2 linked regions of the Arabidopsis thaliana genome follow. The protein of the gene in region 1 purifies or fractionates together with the protein of each later gene. This does not show direct contact. Each region holds a gene or a part of one and is shown in the gene's direction. Other genes may lie near its edges.

The links.
Region 2: the proteins of hemf2 (region 1) and AT1G14810 fractionate together in Arabidopsis thaliana (co-fractionation; one large-scale study listed by BioGRID). This does not show direct contact.

What each region holds. Positions count from the first base shown.
Region 1 is NC_003075.7:1,410,935-1,414,686, forward strand, and holds the start of hemf2 (Coproporphyrinogen III oxidase), read left to right. Parts: upstream 1-1,850; 5' UTR 1,851-1,879; coding exon 1,880-2,404; intron 2,405-2,492; coding exon 2,493-2,568; intron 2,569-2,647; coding exon 2,648-2,769; 3' UTR 2,770-2,825; coding exon of another isoform or gene 2,826-2,831; 3' UTR 2,832-3,590; intron 3,591-3,683; 3' UTR 3,684-3,752. Other genes in the region: AT4G03200 (catalytics), read left to right, coding at 1-2, 95-358, 440-550, 622-846, 919-1,122, 1,200-1,376, 1,447-1,632. UniProt on the Arabidopsis thaliana protein: Key enzyme in heme biosynthesis. Catalyzes the oxidative decarboxylation of propionic acid side chains of rings A and B of coproporphyrinogen III.
Region 2 is NC_003070.9:5,103,189-5,106,940, reverse strand, and holds the start of AT1G14810 (semialdehyde dehydrogenase family protein), read left to right. Parts: upstream 1-2,090; 5' UTR 2,091-2,307; coding exon 2,308-2,868; intron 2,869-2,980; coding exon 2,981-3,067; intron 3,068-3,168; coding exon 3,169-3,213; intron 3,214-3,308; coding exon 3,309-3,404; intron 3,405-3,500; coding exon 3,501-3,602; intron 3,603-3,637; exon of another isoform or gene 3,638-3,752. Other genes in the region: AT1G14820 (Sec14p-like phosphatidylinositol transfer family protein), read left to right, coding at 148-219, 520-778, 1,017-1,053, 1,141-1,258, 1,344-1,454, 1,543-1,704.

The sequences.
Region 1 (3,752 bases):
AGGTTCTTTTCTCTGATATATGATATATTCATGAGCTGACTCTGGTTTCCCTCTGCATACTGACATTTGTTTTGCGTGTGTGTTTGGTTTCAAGATTGATGAAGTCCTCGGGGAGAATGCTGATCTTTTCAAGGAGCATTATTATGTTAAGAAATCAGGTAACTGCGATCTTTCGAGCAGGAGTGACCCGCACAATGAATTTGCTGGGAAGAACGTGCTGATCGAAAGAAATGAGACGTCTGCTATGGCATCAAAGTTTAGCCTCTCTGTTGAGAAGTATCAGGAGATATTAGGTGAATGCCGAAGAAAGCTTTTCGATGTCAGATTGAAGCGACCTAAGCCGCATCTAGATGATAAGGTAATACTCTTCTTGGAATTCTCATGTTGTCTTCTCTACTGTTTCTTCAGATTTGTTAACCATTTAAGATTTCTTTCATAGATAATCGTGTCTTGGAACGGTCTTGTTATCTCGTCTTTCGCAAGAGCTTCCAAGATTCTTAAGGCTGAGCCTGAAAGCACCAAATATTATTTCCCTGTGGTGAATAGTCAGGTAATGAATGCTACACCCTTTCCTTTAATTTCTTCTTTGACCGTTTTGTAATTAGAAGACTCATTTTTCAGCCAGAGGATTACATAGAGGTTGCAGAGAAAGCAGCTTTGTTTATCAGAGGAAATCTCTATGATGAGCAGTCTCGCAGATTACAACACAGTTACAGACAGGGGCCATCCAAAGCTCCTGCCTTCTTAGACGATTATGCTTTCTTGATCTCTGGTTTACTCGATCTTTACGAGAATGGAGGTGGGATCGAATGGCTTAAGTGGGCGATTAAACTTCAAGAAACACAGGCAAGTGAGATCTTTACTAGCTCGATTTGTTAAAGTTCTTGATTTTGGCTAAAAAAGTTAAAAACATTTTAGGATGAGTTATATCTGGACCGAGAAGGAGGAGCATACTTCAATACTGAAGGACAAGACCCATCGGTTCTTCTTCGTGTAAAAGAAGATCATGATGGTGCAGAACCTTCAGGGAACTCTGTTTCTGCTATCAATCTTGTGAGGTTAGCTTCCATAGTCGCCGGAGAAAAAGCTGAATCCTACCTCAACACGGCACATCGTCTCCTGGTAAACAAACAAACAACTAATCCCATTTGCTATTCATAGAAAGAGATTATTGAGTCTCTTTGTTGTTGTTTTTGCAGGCAGTCTTTGAGTTGAGGTTAAGAGAACTGGCGGTGGCTGTGCCATTAATGTGCTGCTCCGCAGATATGATCTCTGTTCCGTCGAGGAAACAAGTTGTATTGGTTGGTTCTAAGTCTTCCCCAGAGCTTACCAACATGCTTTCTGCAGCACATTCAGTCTATGATCCTAATAAAACGGTAAGAGCTTAAAAAATTATCCAAATTTCTAGATTCAAGATTTGTGACTTTTGGTGGTTTTACTGAGCAGGTGATTCACATAGATCCCTCTAGTTCTGATGAAATCGAGTTTTGGGAAGAGCATAACAGTAATGTAGCTGAGATGGCTAAGAAGAACAGAAACTCAGAGAAAGTGGTGGCTCTTGTTTGTCAACACTTCACTTGCAGTCCTCCTGTCTTTGACTCTTCTTCTCTCACTCGCTTGCTTTCCAAGTAAACAAAGATCATTCCATGTTTAATAGTTGCTTGTACTGTAAGGAACAGATCAACGTTGTTCTCTCTGTTACAGTCTTACAGAGTAGATAAATAAAGAAGAGAACTAAACCGAGTATGAGGTTTTTTGGTTGAACTAAACCGGAAATAACCGGGTTTGGTTTGGTTAAAAAAACAGAGCTTTGACGATTCCTTATCATCTTCTATCTTCAGCAAAAAGGTGAAAACTTGGATTCGATCGATCGCTGAAAATGGCGTCTCACTCTTCGACTCTCTTCACTTCTCCTTCTTCCTTCATTCTCTTCTCTTCTCATCGTCTCAAATCTTCTCCGAATTACTTCACTTACCACTTTCCTCGTTCCGTAAAGAGACCACATTTCGACTTGCGATGCTCAGTCTCAATCGAGAAAGAAGTTCCGGAAACAGAAAGACCTTTCACTTTCCTCAGAGTCTCCGACGGCGATCAAACTCAATCTTCTTCTTATTCGGTTAGGGCTCGTTTCGAGAAAATGATAAGAACTGCTCAAGATAAAGTCTGTGAAGCCATTGAAGCAGTCGAAGAAGGTCCTAAATTCAAGGAAGATGTTTGGTCTCGACCCGGTGGAGGTGGTGGAATCAGTCGTATTTTGCAAGACGGAAATGTATGGGAGAAAGCTGGAGTTAATGTCTCTGTGATTTATGGTGTTATGCCTCCTGAAGCTTATAGAGCTGCTAAAGCTGCCACGTCTGAGCAAAAACCTGGTCCGATTCCGTTCTTTGCCGCTGGAACCAGCTCGGTGAGTTCTCTCTCTCTCTCTCTATCAGTCGACATTGCTGTTGATATGGTCTCTGAGTTCTTTGATTGAGCTTGATCCTACATTCTAGGTTTTGCATCCTCAGAACCCTTTTGCTCCGACTCTGCATTTCAATTACCGCTATTTCGAGACCGATGCTCCAAAGGGTAAGACCTTAATCCTCTTTGAGAAGTGTAAAGTTCCAATTTTTTGGTTGGATGAAGCATTTGATTTCATCACTTGTAGATGTTCCTGGAGCTCCGAGGCAATGGTGGTTCGGTGGTGGGACTGACTTCACACCTGCTTACATCTTTGAAGAAGACGTCAAGCACTTTCATTCGGTCGTTAAACCTGATCCATTGTTCTGAAAGTTTGAAGCTTTGTGATTATGGAGATGCTGATTGAAATATCTTTCTTTGTGTAGGTTTAAAAGCAAGCCTGCGATAAATTTGATCCGTCGTTCTACCCTTGGTTTAAGAAATGGTGTGATGACTACTTTTACATTAAGGTCTGCAGTTCCTTTAACGCTATTCTGATTGTTTGGTGAGATCTTAGCACTTTGTGGAACTAAAAGACCTTAGTTTTAGAGTCATGTATGTGCAAGAATAGATTTAGAGCCTCAAGGTTTTGTTTAGGTTGATACAGTGATAAGTTGTCGCCTAGGATTTGAAAACACTAAAAACTTTACGGTCTTGCCTGCAGCACCGTGATGAGAGGCGAGGGCTTGGAGGGATATTTTTTGATGATTTGAATGACTATGATCAAGAGATGCTTCTGTCATTCGCCACTGGTAGTGACCAAGATATAACTTGTGACATTTTGTTTTAAGAAACTTCCTAGTTGACTTATTTGAATACTGAGATGAATTTTGCAGAATGTGCAAGCTCAGTGATACCAGCTTCTATACCCATAGTAGAGAAACGTAAAGACACACCATTTAACGAGCAACACAAGGCATGGCAACAGCTGCGAAGGGGCAGATATGTTGAATTCAACTTCGTAATTGGATACTACTAGCTTTGTTTTTCTTTCTGTATAAATATCTCTTGAAACCTCGTCTCATGTTTTGTTGCTGATGGTAAAAATAAAGGTGTATGACCGCGGAACAACATTTGGTCTGAAGACTGGAGGACGAATAGAGAGTATCCTTGTCTCTCTTCCGCTATCTGCGAGATGAGAATATGACCATGTAAAGTTTCTTGATTCAAGAAACTAAATCTTGTTTCATCTTAGCTAATGAAACTTAACTACTGATGGTGTTTGTCTCTTGTTGCGGATGCAGAAACCTGAAGAAGGAACTGAGGAATGGAAACTATTAGATGCTTGTATCAATCCAAAAGAGTGGCTTTAG
Region 2 (3,752 bases), on another chromosome or scaffold:
TTCTTCTTCCTGTGGCTTCTGGGTCTTTGTCAACATCAAAGCTCTTTACTTTTTCAACTTACTTTATCGTGCGTCTGTACGGACCACAAAAGGCTCTCTCTTTATTTCTCTGTGAGATTTTTTTAGGATCTGAGAGAGCCAAAGATCATGGAGGAAAGCCAAGAACTTGCCTTGACCCAGTTGAGAAAATCGGTCGAGAAACTCTCTTCTTCTACTGAGGTAATCTAATTCGACGCTTTAGTTTCATTACAGTTTACAAAGCTTGCATCTTTTGGCCGTTTCATGAGTTTCACTGACAATGTCTCGTTAGAAAATGAGAAATATCTGTCATTTGATTTTGATGGGTTTTATATGGGCTACACTGTTAAAACTCTGTCTCCATTCTCGTCATAGTGGTTTGTCTGATTAGGTTTGAGCCTCCCATCAGAAACCCTAACAGTAGAGACAGTTTAGTAAAAGTGAATCCATAATCAGAAAATCTCATCAATGGTTTTTGTTGTTGTTGTTTCCTCTGAAAAGGGATATGACAAACCAACATTGATGAGGTTCCTGGTGGCAAGATCAATGGACCCAGTCAAGGCAGCAAAGATGTTTGTAGATTGGCAAAAATGGAGAGCCTCCATGGTTCCTCCAACTGGATTCATCCCTGAGTCAGAAGTGCAGGATGAATTGGAATTCAGAAAGGTCTGTCTTCAGGGTCCGACCAAATCCGGACACCCATTGGTGCTTGTCATAACCTCTAAGCATTTTGCTTCTAAGGATCCAGCTAACTTCAAGAGTAATCACCTCTCACTTGCTTCTGACCTTTACTTTCGTTGGAAATAATCTGTCCCTTGACTTTCAGTGACTTTTGTATTCATAGAACTGATCAGCTTCTTTCCTGGTTCTCTAATTATTGAGTAGTTTCATTTGACTTCAAATGAATGAAGTTTTTTGAGTCCATCTATGTGTTTTCCTTGAGTTGATTCTTGCGATAATTATCTATGAACTAATCTTTTATCTGTTTGATGTTGCAGAGTTTGTTGTTTATGCGCTAGACAAAACAATCGCAAGGTGTTTACACATTATTGAAACCAAAACACTTCAATAATCTTCCGGTTAGTTGGTTGTGAGACAAGCTTTTTGGTTTTTATGTTTCAGTGGCAACAATGGCAAAGAAGTTGGAGGTGAGAAATTAGTAGCCGTTATTGATCTGGCAAACATTACATACAAGAACCTTGATGCTCGTGGATTGATCACTGGCTTTCAATTCTTACAAGTAAGCATCTCCCTTCTTCCTGAAACAATATAGTTATCACACAAAAAGAAGTCCTGTCTATTAAATTTGGAAAATGTTTCTCTAGTCTTACTACCCGGAACGCCTTGCAAAATGCTACATTTTGCATATGCCCGGATTCTTCGTGACCGTTTGGAAATTCGTCTGCCGTTTTCTAGAGAAAGCAACTCAGGAAAAGGTTTGATCTTTAATCTCCTCTTGATGTATCTATCTCTAATGGTTCTTGAGCAACGAATCACATAAATTATGATTTTGCTGTTGCATAGATTGTGATAGTTACGGATGGAGAAGAACAGAGAAAATTCGAGGAGGAGATCGGAGCAGATGCTTTACCGGAAGAGTACGGTGGCCGAGCTAAGCTCACAGCAATCCAAGATGTTCTTCTTCCTCAGGCTGCTCCAGTAACTCTAACAAACAATAATGTTTAGCTCTTTATTTTTGGAAGCATTAACCTGAATATTTGTAATGGTCAGAACATAACTAGTGGTACATCTCTAAATTTCCAAAAGAAGCAATGAAAACATGAGAAAGTAATGCGAATATATTCAATCTGGTGACTGAGTGCTCGCTCTTGCTTATCTTTTCTTATTCACATCATAAGTAAGCTGTAAAGCAGGATTGATCAACAGACCAGACTAACTTCTAGAAACTTAATGTCCTCTTGTTGTACGTGTAAGATTCCAAAGTTAGCTATAGATGTCTTTGAGCTAAAAACCAGAATCACGAGCTCTTAAATATGATCCCTAAGCCTTGTTATATGACAAAAGACTTTTCAACAACTTAATATTTCCAAAAGAAGAAATGATGAAACACATGAGAAAGTTGTGTGAATATACTCAATCTGGTGAATGAGCAGTTTCAAACATCATGCTGTTTCTGTATCTTAAATTAAACAATCTTGCTGTTTTGAATTTTGAAGATGTTGGTCAATTCACTAACACACTTTAAAGTCCCAAGCTTTTTTCTATCAGCCGCCTCCAAAATCTCTCTATCTCTCTGTCTCTCACTTCTTCTTCCTCACGGCGGCGACAATGGCGACGTTCACTCATCAAACCCCACAAACCCATTTCCTCTCTCGCCTTCCTCTCAGAGCTAAACCTAGACACTTCTCCGCAAGAGTCAAAATGTCTCTCCAAGAATCTGCGCCTTCACTCGCCGTCGTTGGCGTTACCGGAGCCGTCGGACAAGAATTCCTCTCCGTCTTATCCGATCGAGACTTCCCTTATAGCTCCATCAAGATGCTTGCATCGAAACGCTCCGCAGGGAAGCGTGTTGCCTTCGATGGCCATGAATACACGGTGGAGGAGCTCACGGCGGATAGCTTCAACGGTGTAGACATAGCTTTGTTCAGTGCTGGTGGATCCATAAGCAAAGAGTTTGGTCCTCTGGCGGCGGAGAAAGGAACCATTGTTGTTGATAATAGCTCGGCTTTTAGAATGGTTGATGGAGTTCCGCTTGTGATTCCTGAAGTGAATCCAGAAGCAATGAAAGGGATCAAAGTTGGAATGGGCAAAGGGGCTTTGATTGCAAACCCTAATTGCTCCACCATTATCTGTTTGATGGCTGTTACGCCTCTTCATCATCACGCAAAGGTTCGATTTTTATTCTGAAATCTGCTTAGTCCAAAATTTTGAAGGGTAGTTAGAGAATCAATGGAAGCTTTAGACTTTAGTGCTCTGAATAATGTTTGATTGGCTATAATAGGTGAAGAGAATGGTGGTTAGTACATATCAAGCAGCTAGTGGTGCTGGTGCTGCAGCTATGGAAGAGCTTGTTCAGCAGACTCGTGAGGTTTTGTTTCTATTTCAGCCTTCTTTGATTGAATTGTTTAATGATTGTGCTGAGTTGTGATTCTGCTTCTTCGTCTTCTTTGCATTGGTGTGTTTTCTTAGGTTTTAGAGGGTAAACCTCCGACTTGTAACATCTTCGGGCAGCAGGTGAGTGCTTAATTTGCTTATAGTTTGTATTTCGAATGTGCTGATTATGAAATCCCTTTTTGAGTAATGTGATGGTTTTGTATGTTGTTCTGCAGTATGCATTTAACTTGTTTTCACATAATGCTCCTATTCTTGACAACGGTTACAACGAAGAGGAAATGAAACTTGTGAAGGAGACAAGGAAGATCTGGGTGAGTGGTTACTTAAGTGCTATTTTGTGTTCATTTCACTTTGATCTTTTGTTCAAAAATTTTAGATATCTCACACCAATTTCTTGCCCTTCACAGAATGACACAGAAGTAAAAGTAACAGCAACGTGTATACGTGTTCCAGTTATGCGTGCTCATGCAGAGAGTGTGAATCTTCAGTTTGAGAATCCTCTTGATGAGGTAATAACACACGTCGAACCCGATTTCTACTGATTCTGTGTTGTTGTGTTACCTTATGATTTCACTCACTGATATGACAATTTGAATCATAATTTGAAGTTTTAAACCACATTCTATGGTTTTAATTTAACTCAAGCCATTGAAAAATGT